Saccharomyces cerevisiae S288C: one gene and its partners. Each later gene encodes a partner of the first gene's protein in a complex. Each region holds a gene or a part of one and is shown on either strand. Other genes may lie near its edges. The genes, in order: RPC25, RPC19, RET1 and RPC82.

Region 1 (3,033 bases):
CCAGCTTTATTGAGACCCGGTAGAATTGATCGTAAGGTAGAGTTTTCATTACCTGACTTGGAAGGTCGTGCAAATATCTTCCGTATTCACTCTAAATCAATGAGTGTGGAACGTGGCATCAGATGGGAACTTATCTCCAGACTGTGTCCAAACTCTACCGGTGCAGAATTAAGATCTGTTTGCACAGAAGCCGGTATGTTTGCCATTAGAGCAAGAAGAAAGGTGGCTACTGAAAAGGATTTCCTGAAGGCTGTTGATAAAGTTATTAGCGGATACAAGAAGTTTAGTTCCACATCGCGTTATATGCAATATAATTGACGTCAATGTACTTTTTTATTATATATTATGAGAAGGGTTAATAAAAACAACAAGTACAACTACAACTATCGAGATAAAAAGGATACGAGAGTATCCCCTCAAATAGAGAAAGAATTAGCGTATATAATGCTAAAGAAAATTCACGTTTATTATATATTATTATCCTCATTATTACTGTTACTATTATTATTAAATGTTTTATTGAAGTCAGTGGCGTCCTTATCTATCATTCCCACCAACTAACGAGTCCCATGCCATCAGTTTGACAACTACCTAATAGGGCATATGCTGGAGGTTTTTCGTTTTGAGGAGTTTCTTCATTCTTACCCTCAATCTCATTCTCTAATTGAGCTCTTTCCTCCAATTCTCGTTCTTTGGGTGATTTTGGCTTCACATCAACAAAAACTTCTCTTTCGATTCTGAATCTAATTTTTTCATTTACATCGAAATATAGTTTCGTCTCTTCATCCATGGGCCAAATCCATGCACTTTCTTCAGGGGTATAATAGCACCCTTCGAATAACATATTTTGTGGGATAAAAATGTCATCAAATATACCTAACAGTGAAACTTTTATGCCTTCTGCTGTACATTTAGAAATCCATCCAGTTACTATCTCACCTAGAAACGGTTTGAAAACAACGGCTCGAAATGTAACGTTAATATAGGATGATCCATCGCCTGGCTTCAATTGGCCTTCCTCGACGGTTAATAAGTCGTAAATCGTAATACATAGACCGACATTGGGAATAATCTTGTTGGCGAACTTATTATTTAACTGATGTGTGATTGCCGATATTGTATCGCGATGGAATTGATCGGGCGGGATTCGTACCAAGTCAGCGATTTTTGAAAGGATAAACATATTACCTTGTTCAATGAATTTTCTAATTTAAATAGTACTACAGAATGTCTTTATACTACCCGATAGTTTCTTCCGAATAACGCTTCTTGCGTCTATTTCTGCACATGGCTTGAATATTCGTTATTATGATACGAAATTAACTAATCCGTATAACGCGACTGAAAATTTGTCAAATAAAAATTTTAAGCGATGAGCATCGCCTGAATATTATGAGCATCTAAATCAGGGTTCTTACCGAATCCTACGAGCAACCAGTATAGTATTTCAAAGACTTTAAGGGGAATATAAAAAGCACGAAGATGTCGAAGAAATTTAGCTCTAAAAACTCCCAAAGGTACGTGGTGGTACACAGACCCCATGATGATCCTTCATTTTATGATACAGATGCCTCTGCGCACGTTTTGGTTCCTGTCTCCAATCCAAATAAAACTTCTCCAGAAGCAGATCTTCGAAAAAAAGACGTGAGTTCAACAAAACCAAAGGGTAGGAGGGCTCATGTGGGAGAAGCAGCTTTATATGGTATTAATTTTGATGATTCTGAATACGATTATACTCAACATTTGAAGCCAATAGGTCTCGACCCTGAAAACTCCATCTTTATAGCATCCAAAGGCAATGAACAGAAGGTCGAAAAAAAAAACATTGAAGATTTATTCATCGAACCTAAGTATAGACGTGATGAAATTGAGAAGGATGACGCGCTACCTGTGTTTCAAAGAGGGATGGCAAAGCCAGAATATTTACTACACCAACAAGATACCACCGATGAAATTAGAGGTTTCAAACCTGATATGAATCCTGCATTAAGAGAGGTGCTTGAAGCTTTAGAAGATGAAGCATATGTTGTTAATGATGATGTTGTGGTTGAAGACATCAGCAAAAAGACACAACTTCAAGGCGATAACTATGGAGAAGAAGAAAAGGAAGATGACATTTTCGCACAATTACTAGGGAGCGGTGAAGCAAAAGATGAAGACGAATTCGAGGATGAGTTTGATGAGTGGGATATTGATAATGTAGAAAATTTTGAAGATGAAAACTACGTTAAGGAAATGGCGCAATTTGATAACATCGAAAACCTGGAGGACTTGGAAAATATCGATTATCAAGCTGATGTTCGAAGATTTCAAAAAGATAACTCTATACTAGAAAAGCATAACTCGGATGATGAATTTTCTAATGCAGGTTTAGACAGTGTAAATCCCTCTGAAGAGGAAGATGTGCTGGGCGAATTGCCCTCTATCCAAGACAAAAGCAAGACGGGGAAGAAGAAAAGAAAGAGCCGTCAAAAAAAGGGTGCCATGTCAGATGTATCTGGATTTTCCATGAGTTCAAGTGCCATTGCGCGTACAGAGACGATGACAGTACTGGATGATCAGTACGATCAAATCATCAATGGTTACGAAAATTATGAGGAAGAACTAGAAGAGGACGAAGAACAAAATTACCAACCATTTGACATGTCAGCAGAAAGATCTGATTTTGAGTCAATGCTTGATGACTTTTTGGACAATTACGAACTGGAGAGTGGTGGCCGTAAACTGGCTAAGAAAGATAAAGAAATTGAAAGGCTGAAGGAAGCTGCTGATGAAGTAAGCAAAGGTAAACTGTCTCAGAGAAGAAATCGTGAAAGGCAAGAGAAAAAGAAACTTGAGAAGGTCACCAATACACTAAGCAGCTTAAAATTTTAGAGGAGTAGAATGAGATGAGAAAGCACCTACATTACAAGTACTGTGTAGACATGTATACTTAGCCTAGAATGCATTGATGCTAAAATACATCCTGCCCACCGGGTAATAATTATGAAACGCGGCGGTGCTCTTTGTGGATTTCGGAGAAAGGGGGTGGAG
Region 2 (2,770 bases), on another chromosome or scaffold:
CGCCTTGTGGTCTGTCATTGTAAGAGTTTCTATCAGAGTTTCTTCCACCGCGGAAGTCGCCACCTCTAGACTTGTAGTTAGTCTTGTTATATTGCTGATCTCTACCACCGTAAGTCATATTTGCTCTAAATTTGCCTTAATAGTGCTTAATTCTGTTACAGGTTGTTGACAAGAAAATAATTTGAATGAGATACAGAAAAGTATAAGTTATTTGAGCGTAGGACAGTCTTTTTATAAGACAAATAAACTGAAGGAAAAATTTTCTGCGATGAGCATCGGCGTAAAAAAAAAAAAAAAAAAAAAAAAAAGAAATAAAAAAAGAAATAAATTTTTCAATCATTCAATACGGAATACGCCTTTAAAAAGGAATTTCGAATTCTCAACATTATTAGCACCTTGTACGAAGGTGTATTTTTATCTGGTTATATTATACATAGATTTTAAATAGCACGACTATAAACGGGATACACAAATCAAGCTGTATCTATACTAGCGTGGTGTGCATAATTATTAGAAATTTCAGAGTGACAGAGGGTCTTTGAGTCGATCCGTAACATCTACATGCTCTTGATTTTTTCAGTAAACTTAGATTCTACAACGTCACATAAATCCATCAAGTCCTTTAGCCCTTTTTGAAGAGCATCCACCGCGGTCGTTTCACCGTAGGTTTGAATTCTGATATTTAATAGGTTTTCAGAAGGATGAGGTATCGAGTAACCACAAAATTCTACGTCTGGATTTTTCATTATAACGTAACGAAGGGCATTTCCAAGCGTGTGATCCTCCTCTACAATTTGAAAAGAGGCACTAGTTCCATCTTCAGATGTTGCCTGTGTGAGAAGCTTAATTTTTTCCCTGTCTGGTTCCTCTTCCTGTTCTTCATCGCCAGTCATATCAACATCCTGTTCTTCTTCTTCTTGGATGTGCTTTGGTTCTTGTGGTGTTACCTCTGTAGCGGTCTTTTTTTGTTCGATGTCTTCAGTCATTTGCCTGGTACTTTATGTGAAGTTCAATTTTTCCGACTTTGGATTGATGGCCTTTCCCCAATTCGTTACTTTATACCTCAGCATTAGTATGGTTTTCTTTTGAAATTTTTTTTTTTTCCAGCTCATCGCAGGTGAATATTTCTATCACTTGTTACGTTTACCATTACCCGGATTGAAGTAAATATGATTCACCCCAATAAAGCTGTACAGAAGAGATAAGATGTAGCTTTATTAGAACAAAGTTTATCACGTTGTTGGTACTTAGAATAATCTATGATATTGTTGCGTCTTTTTGAATAAGCTTTCTTGCGTGCCGTTTTTTTCGGTTTTTTTTTATATTTCTGCCCAAAAAACGTAGTTCAAAGAAAAGGAACTATCCCAAAATAGAAGCAAGTTATGTTTAAGGAATTAAAAAATGTACCTATAAAGCACGTTTTTCTGATATGTATATGCCTATGTAATGTAGAAGTTGTCGAATCAGCAATCGTATTGGTCAACCTTGATGGCATGTTCTCAGCACGTTTTGAAGTGGCTATGCATATATAGTGTTCTTTAATCTATTCCTTGCAAGGCTATTCGGACCCCTAATTTTAACCATCGTGCAGTTTAAAGGGATGAGAGAAAAACTAAAAGTTAGATGCCTTGCTATATTCTATAAGGAGGAAAGGAAAGGAAAGCCATTGAAGAAAGAACTGTAGGCATCAGAGCGAACAGATCATGAAGGCTAATGGTTTAGATAATGATCCGGCAAGGACGGGAATGGAAAGAACAGATATAGATAGTGAACACCCAGAAGCGCAACCGTTGCTGAACAACAACCACCGGACCCTTGGTGCAGGATCCGCGAATGGCCCAGCAGTTAATGAAGGTCGTGACATTGAATCCGATGGGTTCATCAAAGATAGTCTCTTTCAAATTCGCAAAGGTTATAGAATCTTTATTCATAACTCCAAATGGATATTAAATATCCTAATTCTAATTAACACCATCTGGCTAGTCACCACTTTGATTTCAGATTTCTTTTTCAATATCAATATTCTTTTCGGATTCAGTAACAGGTACGCAAGTTTTAACGACTTGACTTTAATATTCATCTCGATCATAGCTAATTCTTTCAATCTCTGGTTTAATAAGCTGGGACTGTACTCAGCTTTAGATTACAGCTTAAATGTAACTCTCTGTGTTTTGACGTTGTTCAATCTAGCATTGACCTATCTAATTAAATACACTAGGCAAAGAATCGGCTTTGTGGGCACGTTTACATATTTGTGGACTTCGTTTTCATTTTTTATTGGGGCAATATTAGATTGGTATCTCTTGTTTTACAACAACTCAATAAATGAGCCATTGGAGGAACGCAGAATTGATGATGCTAATATTAGTACTTTCAACGAAAACCATACAAATAGTACCGAAAACAGGGACAGAAGCCAATATGGCTCTGGGTCGCCAACCCCCACCCACCGCTCGCAGCTGGTCCAAAACAAACATACATTGACAGAATGGGTATCCATTGGGTTCAGGAATACTATTAAGTTTTTAATTTTAATATTCTTCGCTTTATTCACCCTGAATACACTTTTAACGACATTGGATACCTACAGATTGACTCACAAATTACCAATAACCGTTCAGTCGCCCTCGTACGAGGCGTTCCATTACGTAGATGCCGCTAAAACCTATCAGTTGCATATAACTTGTTATGGTGACGTATTTGATCAAGAAAACAACACAGATTTGTCTGAAAATAAGAAGCAACCTATCATCTTGTTTGAACACGGAGG
Region 3 (5,532 bases), on another chromosome or scaffold:
ACTAGTTAAAGAATATAATTTTGAATCATCCGTGGATTGCGGACCCCTCTGCTTTTGTGATAGCTGCTTTTGATGTAAAGGCTTTTTCTTGAATTTCAGGCATTTCTCTAATCTTTGCATTTCAAAATTTTCTAAAGTTTCAAAATTGTTAAAGAGTTTCTTTAATATTACCTTTTCATTTTCTTTTACGGAGCAGAATTTTAGCCAATTCGGTAAAATCGTGTCGTTAGGTGCTAAGTCAGCAGGCATATTGAATTGGAAAAACTTTTGCAAAGAATTAGGAGAATAATGAATTAGATCCTTTTTCAGAGACTGTAAAAATATTTTATTTGAATCATTGGGTGGAGGTATGTTTATTCTTAAATTTAAAGTTGACCTTGAAGTTAAGTTTACATTCAAGTTCAAATCCAATTTGGGCAAGATGCAATTTTTCTTATTTTTTCCTAATGAGGGGGCCTTGCTATCATTCAGAGAGCCTTCGAGAAGAAAGAATTTCAAATAAGGAGATGGAAAAAAATGGCAGATGAACTTTTTAAACTTCTCAATGAGGCAAAAAGTTGTCTTTAAACAACTCGAAATTCTGCTAAACGAATCACTGAAAATGAAAATATCATAATCTTTGATGATCTTTGTGAACTCAATATACTTTTCATCAGATCCAAGGTAATTCTTTAGTAAGTTCTCGAACGGGTAGTTCGACCTTTTCACCAAAGTGCTGGGTAGCGGCAACGATAAAACTGTGATATCCTTAGCATTGGTATTGCCTAAAAATGAGTTGGTATTGGGGCCAGCGCACAGATCTAGTAAAAGTATTTTAGAATGCCTATTAGAGTTGTTCCGCCGTATGTTAACGTCGTCCAAATCTTTGCACGGTTTAATTTGATTTTGGGGAAGGTTAGACAGATTTATAGTTTCACCTCTATAGACGGGCATTTGACCAGGTGTTCTAGTTTGATTGACTTGTATGTGGCCCTTTTCCGATATAGCGGAAGAAGCCATTCTATTGCCGTTATTGTCTCTTTTGCCATTACGATATTGCTGTGCTATGCGATCCATCAATAGCAACGTCGATCCTATTTTATTGTAAACTATTAATAGCACTGGGGATCGGACCTAGGCTTCCAAACTAAGCGAAAAGGGCTGTGCAAAGCGGAAGAGGGGAACCAGGGGAATCGGGTCTGTCAGGTTGAGTGATCTCGTCTTTCTTGTCAAAGGTCGCAGCGCGGTGTTCAAAGAAAGATGATGATTCAAAGTTGGCACTTCCCAAAGGTTTTAATAGGTGCATTATTTTTATATATTCCTTATTGTTAGGTGTACTACACATAAAGATATAAATAGTTCCATAAAGCAGGCGCGTATTTTCCAGATCACGTCGGACGAAATTGTAATTGTGAGATGAGCTGAAAATTTTTCGATCTATGCTTAAGTGATGATATATGGACAAGTTAGGAAAGAATTAAAGGGAGTTTAAAGTGTTGATAATTGAGCGTTTTAATCGCTAGGGACTTAGTGCTTGTTGAAAAATGGTTGCTGCGACAAAAAGACGGAAAACTCATATACATAAGCATGTGAAAGACGAGGCTTTTGATGATTTATTGAAACCAGTATATAAAGGTAAGAAACTAACTGATGAAATCAATACTGCTCAGGATAAGTGGCACCTTTTACCAGCATTCTTGAAGGTTAAAGGTTTGGTGAAGCAACATCTTGACTCATTTAACTACTTCGTTGATACAGATTTAAAAAAAATTATAAAGGCAAATCAATTAATTTTGAGTGATGTTGATCCAGAATTCTACCTGAAGTACGTCGATATTAGAGTGGGTAAGAAGTCCTCTTCTTCGACAAAAGATTATTTGACTCCGCCTCATGAGTGTAGGCTTAGAGATATGACATACTCTGCACCAATCTACGTGGATATAGAATACACTAGAGGTAGAAACATTATTATGCATAAAGACGTGGAAATTGGTAGGATGCCGATCATGCTGAGATCTAATAAATGTATCCTATATGATGCTGATGAATCGAAAATGGCTAAATTAAACGAGTGTCCGTTGGATCCTGGTGGTTACTTTATTGTTAACGGTACCGAAAAAGTAATTCTTGTTCAAGAACAATTATCCAAGAATCGTATTATTGTGGAGGCAGATGAGAAGAAAGGCATTGTTCAGGCCTCCGTTACTTCATCTACCCATGAAAGAAAATCTAAGACTTATGTCATTACCAAAAATGGCAAGATCTATTTGAAGCACAATTCCATCGCTGAAGAAATTCCTATTGCTATTGTTCTCAAAGCCTGTGGTATTTTATCAGATTTAGAAATTATGCAATTGGTTTGCGGTAATGATAGTAGCTACCAAGATATTTTTGCAGTCAATTTGGAAGAATCTTCGAAATTAGATATTTACACACAACAGCAAGCTTTAGAGTATATTGGTGCAAAAGTAAAGACAATGAGAAGGCAAAAACTGACTATCCTGCAAGAGGGTATAGAGGCCATTGCTACCACGGTTATTGCACATTTGACTGTGGAAGCCCTTGACTTTAGAGAAAAGGCTTTATATATTGCCATGATGACGCGCAGGGTGGTGATGGCAATGTATAACCCTAAGATGATTGATGATAGAGATTATGTTGGTAATAAACGTCTTGAATTAGCAGGCCAATTGATTTCTTTATTGTTCGAAGATTTGTTCAAAAAGTTTAATAATGATTTTAAACTAAGCATTGATAAGGTCTTGAAAAAACCAAATAGGGCTATGGAATACGATGCATTATTGTCAATTAACGTCCATTCAAATAACATCACCAGCGGACTGAACAGAGCTATCTCAACCGGTAATTGGTCTCTTAAAAGATTTAAGATGGAAAGAGCGGGTGTTACACATGTTCTTTCCAGACTATCTTATATTTCCGCATTGGGTATGATGACAAGAATTTCTTCTCAGTTTGAAAAATCAAGAAAAGTTTCCGGTCCAAGAGCATTACAACCTTCTCAATTTGGTATGCTTTGTACTGCAGATACTCCAGAAGGTGAGGCGTGTGGTCTAGTGAAAAATTTAGCATTAATGACTCATATTACTACAGATGACGAAGAGGAACCTATAAAGAAATTATGTTATGTTCTTGGTGTAGAAGACATAACATTGATTGACAGTGCATCCTTGCATTTAAACTATGGTGTTTATTTGAATGGTACTTTAATTGGTTCAATCAGATTCCCAACAAAATTCGTTACTCAGTTCAGACATCTGAGAAGAACAGGTAAAGTGTCGGAGTTTATCTCAATTTATTCAAATTCTCACCAAATGGCAGTTCATATTGCAACAGATGGTGGTAGAATTTGTAGGCCATTAATCATTGTTTCTGATGGTCAATCTCGCGTGAAAGATATTCATTTACGCAAATTATTAGATGGTGAGTTAGATTTCGATGATTTTTTGAAACTCGGATTGGTGGAATATTTAGATGTCAATGAAGAAAACGATTCTTACATTGCATTGTATGAAAAAGATATAGTTCCCTCGATGACACATTTAGAAATCGAGCCATTCACAATTTTAGGTGCTGTTGCTGGTTTAATTCCATATCCACATCATAACCAATCCCCTCGTAACACATATCAATGTGCGATGGGTAAGCAAGCGATTGGTGCAATCGCCTACAATCAATTCAAGAGAATAGATACATTATTATACTTGATGACTTATCCACAACAGCCAATGGTGAAAACCAAAACAATTGAATTGATCGATTATGATAAATTACCTGCTGGTCAAAATGCTACGGTTGCTGTCATGTCCTATTCTGGTTATGATATTGAAGATGCTTTGGTTTTGAATAAGTCATCCATCGATAGAGGTTTCGGCCGTTGCGAAACACGTAGAAAGACAACCACTGTTTTGAAAAGATATGCGAACCATACCCAAGATATCATCGGTGGTATGAGAGTTGATGAAAATGGAGATCCTATCTGGCAACATCAATCTCTTGGTCCTGATGGTCTAGGTGAGGTGGGTATGAAGGTCCAAAGTGGACAAATTTATATAAATAAGTCAGTTCCAACTAACTCAGCAGACGCCCCAAACCCAAACAACGTAAACGTCCAAACTCAATATAGGGAAGCTCCGGTAATATATAGAGGTCCAGAACCTTCTCACATTGACCAAGTTATGATGTCTGTTTCGGATAACGATCAAGCTTTAATCAAAGTTTTGCTAAGACAAAACAGAAGGCCAGAATTAGGTGACAAATTTTCTTCTAGACATGGTCAAAAAGGTGTTTGTGGTATTATTGTAAAGCAAGAAGACATGCCCTTCAACGATCAAGGTATAGTTCCAGACATTATCATGAACCCTCACGGTTTTCCATCTCGTATGACTGTGGGTAAAATGATCGAACTGATATCGGGTAAAGCTGGTGTATTGAATGGTACATTGGAATATGGTACTTGTTTTGGTGGTTCTAAACTTGAAGATATGTCTAAGATTTTGGTAGACCAAGGTTTCAACTATTCCGGTAAGGATATGTTATATTCAGGTATAACAGGTGAGTGTTTACAGGCTTACATCTTTTTTGGCCCCATTTACTATCAAAAGTTAAAGCATATGGTCTTAGATAAGATGCATGCAAGAGCTCGTGGTCCAAGGGCTGTTTTGACACGTCAACCAACTGAGGGTAGATCTAGAGATGGTGGTCTGAGGTTGGGTGAGATGGAGAGGGATTGTGTAATCGCGTATGGTGCTTCACAATTGCTGTTAGAAAGGTTGATGATTAGTTCAGATGCTTTTGAAGTTGATGTCTGCGATAAATGTGGATTAATGGGCTATAGTGGTTGGTGTACTACCTGCAAAAGTGCTGAGAATATTATTAAGATGACTATTCCATATGCAGCAAAACTGTTATTCCAGGAATTATTATCCATGAACATAGCCCCAAGATTAAGATTGGAAGATATCTTCCAGCAGTAAGAAATCATATATCTTGTACTAAATTTTGCGTTATGTTAGCAATCATATCTATTTCGTGAGGAACTTTAAGAGAGTTGAACGATTTCGAAAATTATATAACAGTAAACCGTACTTCTTTCATTTTTGTACCTTGCTTTACATCATTACTTTTTATAAGATCCATCGAACGTTTGACGTGTTTTCTATCCATAAACCGGCCAAAATATAAAAATATCCAGCTGACAAGAGAAAGCTTGGAGTGCTCACATGTTAGCACATGTGAGCACAATGATATATACGCTTTAAAAAAGACTTTTCTTTATTTTACACATTTATAGACTTAACTATTGAATTCAAGACAAAAAATCAAATCTTGCTGAGTTGTTAAGCGTCTGACATTTCAACATCTTCGTTGTCATCATCACTTTCCAGACTGTTTAATAATTTTGCTTCTTCTGTTTCTCTTTCTTTGTCTTGTTCTTCCATACTTTCTCTCATTAATCTGGCCTTTTCTTCCTTAACTTCACGTTGTACTGCAACATAAGAACCTAAAGGTGTTTTATTCCAAGCTACATCATTC
Region 4 (4,258 bases), on another chromosome or scaffold:
CTATGTCAATTCTAGACGATAAGCGTGAAGATTTAAGCATTATTTTAGAAGAATTGAAAGCTTTGCCATTATCCAAACAAATAATAGATAAGCACAAAGACGCACCATATCTGATAGAAGAAATTACTAAGAGACTTTATCGTAACGATACCGGTAAACAAGTATGGCAAAGGAGTGCGTACTTTTTCCCTAATAACCTCAAGGTTTGGGAGAGATTAGATAAGAATATTCAACGAAGAATAGCTTCTAATGGACAAAATAAAGTTACTGCGGAGGAGATGAGTAAACTATATTGTGAGAGTAAGAATTTGAGAAGCATACAAAGAGGTATGTTTTTGTGCCCTTGGAACGTTACTGCAGTGAAGGCGCTAAACGAATGTTTCTAAAAATTTGGATTCGAGATAGTCAATCAAACCTTAATGTAACATTAGTAATAAATTTTATCTTTTCTATAGAGTATAAAAGGTTATTAGACAGAGTTTATCAGCTGTATAGAGTAATCATGCCATTTGGAAAACTTCCCAAAGCGATAGCAACCTCGATAAACGAGCGAAAACATTTAGCTCTCTTTCATTGACCATCTTTAATTGATTCAATTCGCTTGGTAATAGTAGTTCGTTCTCTCTTCCTTTAACATCATCTCTATTTGCCTTTTTTAATAATGTAGAGTTTTCTTGCTTTAATTTCTCCTTTTTAAAAAGTAAATTTGCCATATTCCATTCCAAGTTTTGTCTCATGAAATTATAGGAATGCGTTTCTTTGCATCTAAACAAAAAAACTGCCCTTGATGCTGATCTATCGGCTGTTCTTGGAACTTCCTGGATTTCCACAGAATTGTATCTAATTAAAGATGCTAATGTAGATCTTATATCCTTTTCCTTCATTAACGCAGTTGAGTTGATAATTTTCTCAGACACCAGCTTGTTATCACGAATACAACGGCTTAAACGCATTGCTGAGGGTCCCAACGTAGACGCGATAACATACTCATAAACAGATGACTTTAATACTGGCATTAGTTTGCTATATGGAACATAGTAAACACCTGGTTTGGTTTCGTTCAAAAAGGGGAAATTTGATGATGCTAGGATTTTTAAATGACTATTTATCAAAGAAGCTGAGTGAGGATCCTCAGTGTCTGCATCCAAATCCTCCTCCTCTTCGTCTTCTTCTTGTGTATCTCCACTTTCTTGAAGAGATTTGGAAACAGCAGCAGGTAGCGCCGGGATCACAAATCCATCTTCGGTTTTTAATTTTTTACTGGGTAATGATGCAGCAGCGTTTGAGCCAGAACGCTTTTTATTGTCAGAGGGCTTTCTAGATAATAAGCTTCCACGCAAGTCCAATTCTGCGGGGAGATGTCTTGCCAAGTCAATAGCATTAAAGGTAAGCCCTGGTGTCTTCTCCTCAACAAGTTCGGCTTCGTCTTGAAACGATTTTGCTTCCTCCAAATCTTGTAAAAGCCCAGTTTGAGTTAGTGGATCTCTAATTTTAGGAGACTTTTGCTCTGTGAGTCTTAATGCAATTTTGTAAACTTGAGCTGTGACGGAGCCGACTCTTGTCTTGGCCAAGTTAATCAATTGTTTAGATCTTCTACCTTTCATAAATCTATCCAAATTAATCGTCAGAGAGACTGTAGGTTTAACAATCCTCAATGAGGTCTTTGGATCAACCGTTAAGATTTGTGAAAGCTCATTTGGTTTATTTATGATTTTGGCAAAATCAGTTTTCGCATTCATCTTGGCTTGGGATCTTTTCTTCAAATCGGACAACGGGGAGTTTCTGGGAATATTTTTGTAATGTTTTTCATATAAAAATTGCCAGAGATCTTCGATTGGGGTATAATGCAATTTTGATATTTGAATAAGATATCCCATTTCACACAGTTGCACGAATAGTGATGAAATGGTGTACTTCATGGAATCTGACGTGACACTACTTAGATAATCTTCCACTGTTAAGGACCCTAATGATATAACGTTTTGTACAATTTCAGCCACCAGCTGTTTATGCTCCTCTTCGTCGTTTACACGCATTTGCGTAATAATTTCGTCAATAATCAACCCTGAGTAGAGTAAAATGTGTATCCCTTCCTCGTTATAGTAATAATAAGTCGTTTTTTTCCCGGATATTGCTGTTTCTTGCAGGTACTTAACACACCTTAATTGAGTTAATGAGACTAGTGTCGTCTTGACGCTGTCTACATCCATACCATCTATTTTCTCCACTAACTCGCGCACACTCAATCTGCCCAGCGCAACCAACATCCCAATTACAGAAGCTGCTCTTTCACCCAGATGTGCCTTCACCAACTCTTTGTAAAGAAACAAATCGGGATTCAAGGTTCTCTGTTCCAAGGATGATATGGTCATAACATCTTCGGGGGTGACCAACTTCTCAGATTCGACAGTGCTCTCACCTGTTTGGTTCTCTGCACTAAGCGCTTCTCCCAGTAACTCGTCCATTTGGATCTTGCTCAACAAAAATTTTTCCCTATTCCTGTGTCAGCAATTCTCTATTGTTCTCAATATTTCTTCCACTATTATTATTTTGATCCAAAATTATTTTTTTCCTTCAATGCGATGAGCTTTTGAAAAATTTCTGATCATTCCCAACGAACCAATAGAAGGCCCGCCCCGTCTTATATCCGTTAGCCTACCAAATATATATATAAAGAACAAGGGCCTTTCCTCAGAGCGTTTGCTGACGAAGTTTTAGAAGTTAATAAGGTTTTTAACAGCAGTGTGCTCGAACGATTAGGACGGGAGAGTTAAAATTATTAAAAGGAAAAAAGAAGAACGTTGATGTTGTCAGCAGCTAGATTGCAATTTGCCCAGGGGTCAGTTAGAAGGTTGACCGTTTCCGCTAGAGACGCACCTACTAAAATATCTACATTGGCTGTTAAGGTCCATGGAGGGTCTCGTTATGCAACCAAGGATGGTGTGGCCCATCTTTTAAACAGATTCAACTTTCAAAACACGAACACTAGATCAGCTTTGAAATTAGTCAGAGAATCCGAATTATTAGGGGGAACTTTTAAGTCTACCTTGGATAGGGAATACATCACTTTGAAAGCTACCTTTTTGAAGGACGACCTTCCCTACTACGTCAATGCCCTAGCAGACGTGCTATACAAGACTGCCTTCAAACCTCACGAGCTCACCGAATCTGTTTTGCCTGCTGCTAGATACGATTATGCGGTCGCTGAACAATGTCCGGTAAAGAGCGCCGAAGACCAATTGTATGCCATTACATTCAGAAAGGGTTTAGGAAACCCATTGTTATACGATGGTGTGGAAAGAGTCAGTTTGCAAGATATCAAGGACTTTGCGGACAAAGTCTATACCAAGGAGAACCTTGAAGTTAGCGGTGAAAATGTTGTTGAGGCCGATTTGAAAAGATTTGTTGACGAGTCACTGTTAAGCACTTTGCCTGCAGGTAAGTCATTGGTGAGTAAATCCGAACCAAAATTCTTTTTGGGTGAAGAAAACAGGGTAAGGTTTATCGGTGACTCCGTTGCCGCCATTGGTATCCCGGTAAACAAAGCCTCCCTAGCTCAATATGAAGTATTGGCCAACTATTTGACCTCTGCCCTATCCGAGCTTTCCGGTTTAATCAGCTCGGCTAAACTTGATAAATTCACTGACGGCGGCCTATTTACTCTGTTTGTAAGAGACCAGGACAGCGCCGTGGTATCTTCCAACATCAAGAAAATTGTTGCGGATTTGAAGAAGGGCAAGGACTTATCCCCTGCAATAAATTACACAAAGTTAAAGAATGCCGTCCAAAATGAATCTGTTTCCAGCCCAATTGAACTAAATTTTGACGCCGTGAAGGACTTTAAGTTGGGAAAATTCAACTATGTAGCCGTCGGTGATGTTTCCAACTTGCCATATTTGGACGAATTGTAAGAGGAAAGTATTTGTACAAAACGAAAAACTAAAGGCAAATATATATATAGATGTTGCCGCGCACCTTTTTTTTAATGAATATTCACACAAATATTGAAAATAAAAACAAACAAAATTCAAATAACAACATGTAAGACCAAAAAAAAATCCCTCATTATTTATTCCTTACCCTTTCCAAATTCTTACTATACTAGTAAATATATATTTAATTATCCTTTTTTCTACTTCAGCATACAATCCTTCTTTTGCCGCAGGTTTATAGTTAGACCCCTCAATTCTGTCAAGTTTCAGTGGTACGTTATTTTATGTCTCATCTCACGATCCTGGCAAAAAAAGAAAGGCATGTA

What was found.
Region 2: RPC25 (region 1) and RPC19 share a complex: the UniProt entries of both Saccharomyces cerevisiae proteins name them as parts of the RNA polymerase III (Pol III) complex.
Region 3: RPC25 (region 1) and RET1 share a complex: the UniProt entries of both Saccharomyces cerevisiae proteins name them as parts of the RNA polymerase III (Pol III) complex.
Region 4: RPC25 (region 1) and RPC82 share a complex: the UniProt entries of both Saccharomyces cerevisiae proteins name them as parts of the RNA polymerase III (Pol III) complex.

What each region holds. Positions count from the first base shown.
Region 1 is NC_001143.9:175,299-178,331, forward strand, and holds RPC25 (DNA-directed RNA polymerase III subunit RPC25), read right to left. Parts: upstream 1,184-3,033; coding exon 545-1,183; downstream 1-544. Other genes in the region: proteasome regulatory particle base subunit RPT1, read left to right, coding at 1-318; ribosome biogenesis protein LTV1, read left to right, coding at 1,483-2,874. UniProt on the Saccharomyces cerevisiae protein: DNA-dependent RNA polymerase catalyzes the transcription of DNA into RNA using the four ribonucleoside triphosphates as substrates. Specific peripheric component of RNA polymerase III which synthesizes small RNAs, such as 5S rRNA and tRNA.
Region 2 is NC_001146.8:410,987-413,756, reverse strand, and holds RPC19 (DNA-directed RNA polymerase core subunit RPC19), read right to left. Parts: upstream 987-2,770; coding exon 558-986; downstream 1-557. Other genes in the region: DEAD-box ATP-dependent RNA helicase DBP2, read right to left, coding at 1-118; YNL115C (uncharacterized protein), read left to right, coding at 1,704-2,770. UniProt on the Saccharomyces cerevisiae protein: DNA-dependent RNA polymerases catalyze the transcription of DNA into RNA using the four ribonucleoside triphosphates as substrates.
Region 3 is NC_001147.6:729,449-734,980, reverse strand, and holds RET1 (DNA-directed RNA polymerase III core subunit RET1), read left to right. Parts: upstream 1-1,523; coding exon 1,524-4,973; downstream 4,974-5,532. Other genes in the region: tyrosine protein phosphatase PTP2, read right to left, coding at 1-1,056; mRNA-binding ribosome synthesis protein NOC2, read right to left, coding at 5,337-5,532. UniProt on the Saccharomyces cerevisiae protein: DNA-dependent RNA polymerase catalyzes the transcription of DNA into RNA using the four ribonucleoside triphosphates as substrates. Second largest core component of RNA polymerase III which synthesizes small RNAs, such as 5S rRNA and tRNAs.
Region 4 is NC_001148.4:916,577-920,834, forward strand, and holds RPC82 (DNA-directed RNA polymerase III subunit C82), read right to left. Parts: upstream 2,466-4,258; coding exon 501-2,465; downstream 1-500. Other genes in the region: SKI complex subunit tetratricopeptide repeat protein SKI3, read left to right, coding at 1-386; QCR2 (ubiquinol--cytochrome-c reductase subunit 2), read left to right, coding at 2,805-3,911. UniProt on the Saccharomyces cerevisiae protein: DNA-dependent RNA polymerase catalyzes the transcription of DNA into RNA using the four ribonucleoside triphosphates as substrates. Specific core component of RNA polymerase III which synthesizes small RNAs, such as 5S rRNA and tRNAs.